2 linked regions of the Mus musculus genome follow. The protein of the gene in region 2 interacts with the protein of the main gene of each other region in a pairwise test. Links are inferred from orthologs where the notes say so. Each region holds a gene or a part of one and is shown on either strand. Other genes may lie near its edges.

Region 1 (3,600 bases), on a different chromosome or scaffold from region 2:
ATAAGAGAAAAATGTCACCAGGAAGCAGTTTGCCAGAAGGAGCCTAAGGGTGCTGCTGGTGGTGGTGGGGGAGGGTGGAAGAGGAGGTCCCCTCTTCTGCACCTTTCGTCCCAAAGAAGGGGGGATTAAGACCCCGGTGGTGGTCCCCTTTTTTTCTCTAGCGGAGAGGCTGACGCCGTTGTCACCAGATCCACAGATGATGTCTAAATATGACTAATTAAAAAAAAAAAAAACCTGCAAACCATGGCGATTAAAAACAACAGAAAAAGGTGGGCGTTTTATGTAATGTGATGAGCATTACTATGCAGGCAGAACTCCAAAATATAGTACCTTTGGAAGGTTATTCATCACATCCCAAATACGTTTGGTTGTGACGTTTCAGTCAGTTTAGAGATGGGCGGGGGCGTGTGTGGGGCGGGATAGGGTGGGGTGGGGAGGGGAAGAGGGGTCCAAAAAAAAAAAAAAAAATGGAGTGCAAACTCCGGGGAGTCGAAACTTTGCCAAGTTCACTCTTGCCTCCTTAGCCTATAAAAACCGTGTCGGGCACACAGTAGGTGCTCGGTTGAAATATTCCAAAGAGTTCGTGTGACAAACGTCATGACGGATGCAAGAGCGAATTTTCTAGTGGAGGTGTCGTTGTCTCTCCATCCAGCTTTTGTCAGTCTCAAAGGCGTCTTGGGTTCCCAAAGGGTTAAAAAAAAAAAAAAACAAACTCACTTAATCCAAGCAGAGACATGACATTTTTTTTTTCCCCGTCTCGAAATAAATGTCAAGAATGGGTTATTCTAATTCTGGGATAGAGCCAGACGTGGGCATCTGGAATGATTTCCGTGAATTAAAAAAAAAACAAAAAAACAAAAAACAACAAAAAAAACCAAAACCAAAAAGAAAAAGAAACCCAAAAAAACCAAAACCAAATCACCCCAATCGCCACCATTTTCTCCAGGTAATTTTCCATCCCTGCCCCCACAGTCAAGAGACACTGAGAAGAAGAAGAAGGAAAAAAAAAAGTACTTCTTCCATCCTCCCTGGCTGTTTAAGAAAAGAGGAAGGCGCGGGCCAATGAGCGGCGCGCGGGAGGCCGGGGCGCGGCGGGGGCGCCGCGGGGACCGCAGCCCCCCAAACTTTGGCAAGTTGCGGGCGGCGGCGCAGCGCGGGGCGCGGCCGCGAGAGGAGCCGCCCCCTCGACGCCCGCCGCCCCCTCCCGGTCCGGCCCCGGCCCAGCACCGACCGGCTGGGCTCAAAGTTTGCGGCCGCCCCTGCGCCGCGCGCCCGATGTATGGGTGATCTACTGCGGCGGCGGCGGCGGCGGCGGCGGCAGGGTGAGGGACGGCCATATTTGCCGGCGCGGCCCGAGCCGGCGACAACAAAAAGTGCGCGGGCTCCCGGCGGGCGCTCGGACGGCTGCGGGGACGTGGGGCCGCCCGGCCCGGGCCTCGGCCTCGGCCTCGCCGGCGCGCTCGCGGCCTGGCCCGGCTCTGCCCGGCGCGCCCGCCGCCCGCGGGGATGTCGTACAAGCCGAACTTGACCGCGCACATGCCCGCCGCCGCCCTCAACGCCGGTGAGTGAGAGCGAGCGAGCGCGGGCCGCGCGCGCCGCCCCGCGCCGCAAGTGTCGCCAAGTTGGGGGCTCGCGCTCCGGGCCGCGGCCCGGGGCTCCCCGGAGGCGCGCGGTGCCTTGGGCGGGCGTGCTGGCCGAGGATGGTGGCGCGAGGGAACGGGGCGGAGGGAAGGAGGTGTCCCGGGCCGGGGCAGCGGGAACGCCACCGCCGCCGACTCAGCCGCGCCGCCGCCGCCATGATTCCGCCGCCTCCGCTGCGCTGCCAAAGTTCGCGGTGCGCCCGGAGCTCGGCGGGGCAGCGGCCGGGGGCTCCCGGTGTGAGCGGCGGGGCGGCCGCGGATGGCGGGGAAGCGAGGACGCGGGCAGCCGAGCGAGGAAGGCTCCCCCCCCCCAGCTCCCCCCCTTTTTCTTTCCCCTTCCCTTAGGCTTTTTGGGCGGCTCGGCGAGGGCCCCTGCCGGCGGGAGGCGGGCGACGCAGTGAGCAAGGAGCGGGGCTCGGAGGGTCGGCGGAGCGGGACAGGCTGGGGCCGAGCCGGGTGCAGGGCGGCCGCGGGCCCGGGAGGGAATCTGGCCAGGGTTCCGGGCGGCGGGCCCGGTGGGCAGGGGCCGCTTCCTGGCGATGAGAGCGACTCCCGGGTTCCTTCCCCCGGCCCTCGGGAGACCCCTTGGAAGAAGTTGCAGTGCCCCGGCCTCGTGGGTTCTGTGGGCGGCATGCTGCGGCTCGCCGGTCCCGGGGGTCCCCATCTCAGATCTCCCACGTGGGGACGTCCCCGCAGGGCCGCGCTGCGCAAGCCAAGTGGACCTGGTCTCCCTTCCCCTCCGGGCCTGGGCGCCGCCGAGGAAACTCTTGCAAAGTTCCCAGGCAGCTTTGGGCTGTGGCTGGGGGCTAGCCCCGGACCCCAAGGGAACCCGGAATAGGGATGTGAAACTGACTTCCAGAGGTGACTGGCTTTGTGTCCAATTCCAGTACCCTCTCCTCCCAGACATTTGGCTGTGAGCAGACCACCCCAAGTAGTCTGATGCCCCAACAGATGCCAAGTAGTGGGGACCAGGAGGGATAAGGCCTTTGGGAGGAGTTGGGGGTAGAAGTTGGTTATGGTCGCTGTGTGTTAAAAATCCCACCCGCGTTGGCACTTCCAAGTTGGAGGTCTTGTGTCCAAATGTTGATTCCAGAACTCCAGAAACCCTCAGAGGGACCTGGAAAAGCTCTGGACGTGTGTTTTAAACCACTTCTCTGCTCTTTGGGGTTTGGAAAAGGTTGAGATTTAGGGTGCCAGCCTGGGAGAGTTGAAACGCTAGCACGTGGGCACAAAGACCCCCCCCCCCCAAGAGCATGCAGTCACTGTATCTTTTCAAATGGTTTCACTCCCTTTGGGTGACAGGATTTGTCGTCAGATATGATTTTTGCCTCTCAGTCTTCTTGGTCAGTGTTTGGGATGGAAGGGCAGTAGGTTGCGTTGCCAGCCCTAGGGAGACCAGAGACGTAGGCTTGATCTGGGCTAGTTTCCCGTGTGTCTTACACTGGGGACCTTTTGGGGTGTGGGTCCCAGTGCAGACCGCCCCTGGGACTCTGAAGCCCTGTTCTGGGCTTGCTAGCACCTGTATTCAGCTGTAGTTATTTTGCCAATGGGGAATGCCAGGATGCGTGCGGGGGTCTCCAGGTGTTCGGCATTTTGGTGGGGGCCCGCCCGCTTGCCGGTATTACTTTGCAGAAAGCCCTTCTCTCCCCTGCCATCTGCATCCAAGATGGACTCTCACAGTGGCTCCTCCGCCTTCCCTGTCATCATCTCTCACGCCCTCCAGGCCTGCCTCCTGCTCACTGAGTTGCCAAGCTGCGGCCTGGCCGGCAGTGGCAGTGGCGGAGTTAGACAAAGCCCCCGCCTTCCCCCGCCCGAGAGCCCCCCCCCCCCAGGGCGCCCCAAGTGGCGGGAAGGCCGCCAGCTCCCCAGGCCCAGGCCGCTCTTTGTCTGGCATGGGGGCGGGGAGCTGAGCCTGGCCCCAGGAGCTTCCTGGCCTCTGCCAAGCCCTCTCAGCTCTCTC
Region 2 (8,199 bases):
TGACTCTTTTAGTTCAAAGCCCTGCCAGATGTGAACCTTCTAGATCTGCCTTTCACAGACAACCCACTCATGCTGGCCATCCTTCCTTTCCTTTCTCTTCACACTGAAGACACTGGCCTGGCTACAGATAAATATTCCTTGTGGGGTTTTGTTTGTTTGGTTGTTTGTTGGTGAGGAGGAAGGGTGCTTGGGATAAAACCTAGGGCCTTACCATGCAAGCCAGCAAGCATACCACCCCCAAGTCATATTCGTTTTCTTCATCTGCTGACAAAAAAAGCCCATCTCAATCTAAAATGTTTTCCTCAAGCATTAGAAGAGAGAAAAGGTTAATTAAAATTTCCCAGTTGCTACAAATACCCATGCTTTATCTCTTTATGAATAAGAACCAACAGGGCCAGAGAGTCAGAGAGATGGCTCAGTCTTTAAGTGAGTTGATGCTTTTCTACAAGAGCGACATCAGTTTCCAGCACCCATGTTACCTGGCTTATAACCACCTATAACTTCAGCTCAGCGCCCACTGCTGGACTCAGCAGTTACACAAACATGGCAGACACACAGATACACATACATATAAATAAAACCAAATAAAGATTTCAAGAAAAGAATAATATTACTGGGGCTGGGGAAGTGGCTGAGTAGGTAAAGTGTTTGTATAAACATGAGGACCTAAGTTCAGATTCCCAACGTCTCCATTAAAAAGCCAGGGATGGTAGCTTGTACCTATAACCCCAGCACTGAGGGTGTGGAGACTGGTAGACTCTGGGGGATCCCTAGTGAGTCAGTCTAGTCAAGGTGGTAAACTTCAAGTTCAGTAACAGATCCTGTCTCCAGAAAAGGTATGTCAGACACTGATAGAGGCAGATGCCCATATCAACCCCTGGCTTCTACAGTATGTGTAGATGTCAGTGCGTCCCCTACTCCAACACACATACAGCACACACTCATTCACAGACAAAGAATCACAGCACTTAGAACACTAGTTCTACTAACATTTAAGATGCACAAACTGGCCTTAATTACAATATACGGTATTTTACTTGTAAGAGGATTCAACACCCCTGAACTCCAGTTTTAATGTTTCTTCTTTAATCCAACCACAAGTTCTTAGACAGGTCCAGGCATGGTGGCACAAGCTTAAATCACAGCATTTGGGAGGCAGAGGCAGAGACCTCTGTGAGTTTAAGGCCAGCCTGGTCTACATAACAAATTCTAGGACAGCCAGGGCTATGTAGGGACACCTGTCTTAAATAAATAAATATAAATAAATAAATAAATACTCTCAGATTCCTGAAGATTACAGTGGGAAGTAAGAAACTGTAATGAGAACTGTGTATGAAGACTTGATGGTTTTGACCTTCATTTAATCCTTGAAATAGCCTTTTATAAGATCTCCTGCTTAAATAAACCTTTGATTTTAGTATAGTTTTAGACTAACAAAACAAAAGAAGCCAGTCCGAAGCCCACTTGGAGAATTCTCCCCTTGGTTCCTCAGCTGTGGGCTCTTAGCTCACCACTGCCCATCTGCCATGACTAAGGAGCCAGCAGCCATCCATCCTAGTTAACTCCACATAGCACTCAGGTTCCTCTGTGTTTCCCTTAGGCCTCCCTTTCTTGTCCCAGAGTCCCATCCTGCTGTAAGAATTTATCAACCAAGTAGGGTTCAGACTCCAGATATAGAGATGAAGCTTGGAGAGAGACAGTAACTTGACTGAGTTGATCCTGCTCCCCAACTAGAGCCAGGTTTTTGACTCAGGTTAGGTCATCCCTAGCTGCCCCCTTCCCCTGCACTGCCCTTTCCTAGCACCACCCGGCCAAAGGCAACTCTTTCTGAAAAGCTTCATACGGCTGGGAAGATTGCAATTCTTTGATTTCCTTGTTGACTGTCTCTGCCTGACCTGGCCAAATATAGGGCCTCCATTATACTTGGATCATAAATCTAGGCTAGAATAAAGGCAAACCCTCTGATGTCATGAATCCTAGCAACGAGCTGGGAGACAGACTGGAACAGGGCTCGAAGCTTTTGAGTACCGCATGCATTACTAGAAATAACCTTTTTTTCCTCTCCAGCTGTCTTGTGCTCCGATTAGCTGCCTTCCAAAGTTTCTACTCAGGAGGGCTAAATGAAGCTAAGAATTAGCATTCTGGATCTTAAAGGCTGGGCTAGAGGCCCAAACAGGTTCAGGCAAAGAGCCATGATGCCACAGCAGCAGGAAGTGTTTCCTACCGTGACAGGTCCTTCTGCATCTACCCCAGACCTGGACACTTTCCCAGAGTGGACCTTCCCATACTCACACCAACCAGTGCCCGGCAGCTCTCTGTTAAGAATCTCCAGGGTCCATCTCTAATTCTTACACCATCATGGACTGGTTATGTAACAGCTGAGTTTTCCTCTCCAATCTCAAAGTAAACACAGGGGATCTTTTTTTCTAGAGGTTTCTAATGCGTAATCTAACACTACTCTTCCACCATCTTCCTATCTACAATGTCCTCTCCTCTGTTCAACTGTGTGAACAGACCAGAAAGTTGCATACCTTGTATCCCAGAGAAGTCGGAGATGCTTAGATTAGATGGTTCAGAAGTCTTCAATTCCATTTCTGCCCGGAGCGAGGCAATCTCCATCTCATAGTCCCCTCGAATGCGCTCCATGTCATCGAGATCATTCTGCAACCGGCAGAGATCATCCTGCAAGGACGCTATGTCACTCTCATGTTCAGTGGCAGAGTCTGCCGCAGCTTGCCGTAGATTTTGGATCTCTGCTTGGGCCAAATGCAACTCCTGCTCCATTTCTTTAAGTTCGCTTTCCTTCTCATGCTCTAACAGGGAAATCTCCTCCCGTAGATGTTGCAGCTCACCTGAAAAACAAACAAACAAACAAACAAACAAACCCAAAGGTTGGTGGTCAAGAGGTGAATGTGCTGAGCAAAGTCTGGAAACACAGCGTTCAAGAGAGTCTTACCTGCTGTCTGAAAGCCACTGACAACCTAGTCTTTCCCCCACCAGAGATCCAGAGCACCTAATAGGTTGTATTTTATCAGTGTCCTAAGTCTTTCTAAAAATTTCGTAAGTTAAAAAAAAAACAAAATTCAGAGTATTTTCATTTATCCATCCTGGGGCTTAGGAAATACAAGACCCCAGAGGCTCCTCTTAGCCCCACACTTCCTGTAAGCACAGGATGCAAAACAGTACACATGTAGAATTCAAGGTGAAATTAAATAATAATTTCACCACAAAATAATAAAACACCAGGGCTGGTGAGATGGCTCAGTGGGTAAGAGCACCCGACTGCTCTTCCGAAGGTCCGGAGTTCAAATCCCAGAAACCACATGGTGGCTCACAACCATCTGTAACAAGATCTGACGCCCTCTTCTGGAGTGTCTGAAGACAGCTCCAGTGTACTTACATATAATAAATAAATAAATCTTTAAAAAAAAAAATAAAACACCGAATAATAACCTGCATGGTGGTTGACAACATCAACTGTTGGGATCATGATACAGCTCACCGAGAGCCTTAAGTAGAAGCCAATGTCTGTGCCACTTTTAGACCTCCAAAAACATTAAGTCAAAAGAAACCTTTTTTACTAGCTAGAAAAATATGAAAGTGATTTTTAGGATATATTAGGGAGAAAGAAAAACAAATCAGATACTGTACAACATAAATACTTAAAGATACAGAAAAACAGTCGAAGAAGATCTATGCCCCAAACCATAAAGAGTAGACGCTTCAAGTGTGGGAAAAGGGCTTACCATACAAGCTTAATTAAGGGCCTGAGATCAGATCCCTGGCATCCACATAAAACCCAGACCTAGTGGCATGAGTCGGTGCCCTAACCCTGGGACTACAGCATGTGGAGCAGGCAGAGACAGATCCCTGCAGCTTATTGGCTTGCCAGTTTGGCTAAAGCAGGGAGCTCCTGGTTTAGTGAGAGTCTCTGTCTCAAAACATAAGGGGAAGAGTGAGGAAGACACTTGACACTGACTCCTGGTTTCCACATTCACAGAGTCACAGAAAATACATTTAAAAAAGAGCAATTGCTTCAGAGGAGTAGGGTAACATTACAGGTGTCTTAATCTCCATCTTGTAGCAGTGTTGCTTGATTTTTCACACGTGTCTACACTTTATATATGGATTGTGCTTATATTTTAATATGCAAAACAAATGTGTCAGAACCCTGGGGATCATCTGAGGTTGTTTCAGTTTGTTTCTTTTTTGGTTTTTTGAAATAGGTTTCTCTGTGTAGCCCTGGCTGTCCTGGAACTCAAGAGATCCACCTACCTCTCCTCTTTTGCTTTTTAAGACAGGGTCTCATTCTGTAGCACAGGCTGATCTCAAACTCAGCCTCCCGAGTGATGAGATTACAGACATGAGTCACTATATCTAGTTTCGCATCTGGATGCAGGCACCCATTTGGAATGGGTGAAAATAACTCGGAAGTGGAGAGTTAAAGTCATGGATTTCAAGAAGACTTCAGAAGTGTGGGAAGGATTAAGGGATGGAAGAGAACTGGACTTTACAAGGTATGCTGTCCCCATGTCCCATCTCCTGCATATTCTAGCAAACATCCAGGTTCCATCTTTTTCTAACGTCTCCTCCACCTCCTCCAAAAGTTAAGAGGAATCCTCAAGGCTCATATAGTGCCTTGAACTCTGTAGCACATGTGGCTGTGTTCCGTTCTGTCCTCACTTGGCTATAAAGTTTATGCAAACAGGGAACATGCTGGTTTCATTTACTTCCTTTCAAACAGAAAGTCAGGCCATGGGGATGTAGTTCAGTACCTAGCACACATGAGATGCTGGGTTCAACCTTTAACCAAGGAAATTAAGCCCAAATCCAGCTCAATAAATATAAATTTACTATATTCATGTAGGAGGTAGAGACTCATTCATTCAATTTTTACTGAGTTTCTTCTGTATACGCAACATTACATGTTAAGAGCACATGGGCGTTCTATAAGACACATTTAAGGGCACCATTGTACATGTCTATAGTCCCAGCACTCTAGAGGCCGAAGTAAGAGTACTGCTTGAGTCTAGGAGTTTGAGACCAGCCTGTGTCAAGCTGTACGGGAGGGAGAGAAGAAGGGAGAAAGCACCCATTTGGGTATATGGCCAATAAGTGGACAGGTTGAACCCAGCATCTCATATGGCTACATACTGACCCGTATCCCCACATCCTGACTTTCTATTTGAAAGGAAGTAAATAAAACCAGCGTGTTCCTTGTTTTCATAAAGTTTATGACCAAGAGATGGGAAGACCAACTAAAACACCCCACAACACAAATATATTCCACAGTACAAGAATTTACAAGGTGATATCTAGATCCTCAGCTCAGCTTAGTTGGAGCGAGAGGCATGGGGGGGGGGGGGTGTCAACTGGTCACTATGATGAAGACCCCACCCCAGGCCTGGGCATTCTAGGGGCACAGCCTAACCTCCATCTCCCTAGCATACCCTCAAACCTCACTAGCTAGCTGTTCGGGACCTGGCTCTGTAAAGAGCCTTCTTAGATCATGGGAGTCAGGGTAGTGATAGGTGGCGAGGGGCCAGGCTCATCTTGGAAGCTGAATGGGATAGGCCAGCCAGGAGTTGGAAAGGCAGGGACCAGGTTCCAAAGAGCTGGCGCCGGTTGACTGCGGGCTGGGGCCTTCAGGGGGCGCGGCGGAGGATTCGGGGGGCAAAGAAGACACTTGGCACTTACTGGTTATGGCCTGCATCTCGGCGGCCCCCCACAAGCGGTCTCCAAAGGGGGGGCTCCCGCCTCCCGGCCGGTGCCGCCCCAGGGGGGCTTTGGCGGCCGGAACCGCCTCTGAACACTAGGTACCTCTGAGGCCGCGAGCGCCCCCACTCGGCGGAAACGGGCAAGGCGCGTGCGCAAGGACCCGTCTCAGGTTCCATCCGCGGGGCGGGGCTTGGAGTGGGTTGGATGCCCGCGGTCCCTCACCTGCCTGGGAATCCTTGACCTCTAGCAACAACTCTTATTTCCCTGTTTCCCTGGCTCTTTCAGACTTTCAGACTTCTCCATCCTGGGAAGAAAAAAAAAACCTCTTTTCCAAGCAAAGACTAATACTTGGCTCGACTCAATGGGACCCTTTCCTTCATCATAAAAACAAGATCAAGGGTTCCTTGCCTTAAAAACGAAACCCTTTCCACCTCACCTTCCCTTATTTCTCTTTAAAATGGCTATCACTATGATCTGTACGCAGTTTGTTCTCCATTTGACCTCCCGTTTCTCTCTCGCCAATCCCAGTCCATTCTGCCATGGCTCCTGGTTCTCCATCTTGCCGACCCAAGCAGCCACCTCCGTTGCCTTCCCAGCTTTCCACACAGTGGATCATCATTTCCCTGAAGCATCTTTTGCTCTTGCCTTTCAGGGCAGAGTCATGTTCCTTTTACCATTCCTCCTATCTTGGGCCCCTACTTAGGAGTGTCTCTTTCTCTCCCCTCTGGTATCTCTTGGTGTGACTGAACGAATGTCCATCTCCCATAGATGATGCTGTCTGCTTGTTAATAATTACCAAAGCTCATTTTCAGCCCTTGTTTCACCCCCAGTTCTAGATCATACACGCAAATGGCTCCTTCACATACTCACTTGGACATCAAACAAACCCATCCAGCCAAAAAACTTTTAAATGGCTTCTCTAGTTCGCAAGCAAATTTCTTACCAAGCTTTCCCTTCGACATCCCACTAGATATCAGTATTTACCCAGTTTCTCCTGGCAAAGTCATGAAGGGACCACATTCAAAATATGCTCCCAACCATCTCCATTTCTACTGCCTTAATTCAAGAAAGTCAGTTAGGCTGGGCATGGTGGCGCACACCTTTAATCCCAGCACTTGGGAGGCAGAAGCAGGTGGATTTCTGAGTTCGAGGCCAGCCTGGTCTACAGAGTGAGTTCCAGGACAGCCAAGACTACACAGAGAAACACTGTCTCGAAAAAAAAAAAAAAAAAAAAAAAAAAAAAAAGAAAGCAGTCAGTTAAATGGACCTACTAGCATGCCTAACGCCATTTCTTCCTCCTGGATTCTAAAGTACTCTCTTGCAAAGGGAAAGCAAAGGTTTAAGGATGTTGCTCAGTGGTCAGCACCTGGCAAAAGCCTTGGATTCAACCCCCACCACGGGGGGAAAAAGGCAAAGAGCTAACTAAAAATGTAGATCGTATCAGTCATTCCAGCCTCTTGTAGCATCTCCTTTCCTATGATGAAAGCTAGCTCTGTCAGCTGACCTAAAAGGCCTACCCACCCTAAGCAGACCTCTGCCTTCTTCTTGGAACGTACTCCTACAAGGGACCTTCCCATGAACTTTGAAATGACCTTGGTTCTGGTCCCCTCACCCATGAAGCTCATTCTCATCTCCGGACCTTGCTGTTGCCGTTCTTCTGTCTAGTAGGTCTGTCCATCAGATTTTGAATGGTTGGATTCTTCCCATTACGCAACGGAAGCACCCCCTTCTTGAAGGCTTTTCATCACCTAACTAACTCCTACCTCATCCCTATCCATGTATCTGTCCTGGGAGAAGGACATATCTTCCATACCAAAGCAGACCTAGCCTCCAGGTTCTCCCAGCATCTCTCAGCCCCTACCTGGCATACCCTGCCCCCAACCCTGAACTTTCTAGCCCAGGGGCTGGGCTGCCCTTCCCCGAGAGGCTCCTCCTTATATATTCCAGACATTTTGATCTCCTTTTCTCTTCTTCTTCTCTTCAGTCTCTGCGCATACTTTTACTTTCTTTCTTTTTCTCTTCACCTCTCTCTCCTTCCCATGGCGACTCCCTTGGCTTTAGTCCTTGGGGTCAGTGAACTCACCTGAAAGCAGCTTCCCAATAAACCTGCATTTAATATAATCTAATCTGGCTTGAGGTGGCTCATTTTACTGGTAAAAAAAAATTAACTTATCGATATCACATATTTATACTGAATATTATATTCATACCTGTGTTGCCTTTATTAATACCTGAACTTGTATTATTATGCTTTCCTTTAGAATTTATTTTTCATGACACGGGGTCTCATGAAACCCAGATAGCCTTGAACTCAGTATGTAGCCAAGGACGGCATCAAATTCCTGATGTTCTTGCTTTTACTTCCCACATACTGGGATTACTGGCCTGTACCACCCCTGCCCAGATGTGGAGTCTACTCTTCAGGGATTTGGACAATTGTGTTCTTTGTTGGTCCTTTGACGTATTTGGCAGACAAATGAG

What was found.
Region 1: the proteins of Ccdc136 (region 2) and Cdk2ap1 interact in binary tests that used the Homo sapiens proteins (3 or more experiments, as listed by UniProt). The two-hybrid records come from large-scale screens. The link is inferred for Mus musculus from reciprocal best matches to the Homo sapiens genes CCDC136 and CDK2AP1.

Annotation. Positions count from the first base shown.
Region 1 is NC_000071.6:124,352,278-124,355,877, reverse strand, and holds the start of Cdk2ap1 (cyclin-dependent kinase 2-associated protein 1), read left to right. Parts: upstream 1-1,249; 5' UTR 1,250-1,506; coding exon 1,507-1,561; intron 1,562-3,600. UniProt on the Homo sapiens protein: Inhibitor of cyclin-dependent kinase CDK2. Also acts as a component of the histone deacetylase NuRD complex which participates in the remodeling of chromatin.
Region 2 is NC_000072.6:29,400,524-29,408,722, reverse strand, and holds part of Ccdc136 (coiled-coil domain-containing protein 136), read right to left. Parts: intron 5,862-8,199; exon of another isoform or gene 5,714-5,861; coding exon of another isoform or gene 5,698-5,713; intron 2,853-5,697; coding exon 2,532-2,852; intron 1-2,531. UniProt on the Homo sapiens protein: May play a role in acrosome formation in spermatogenesis and in fertilization.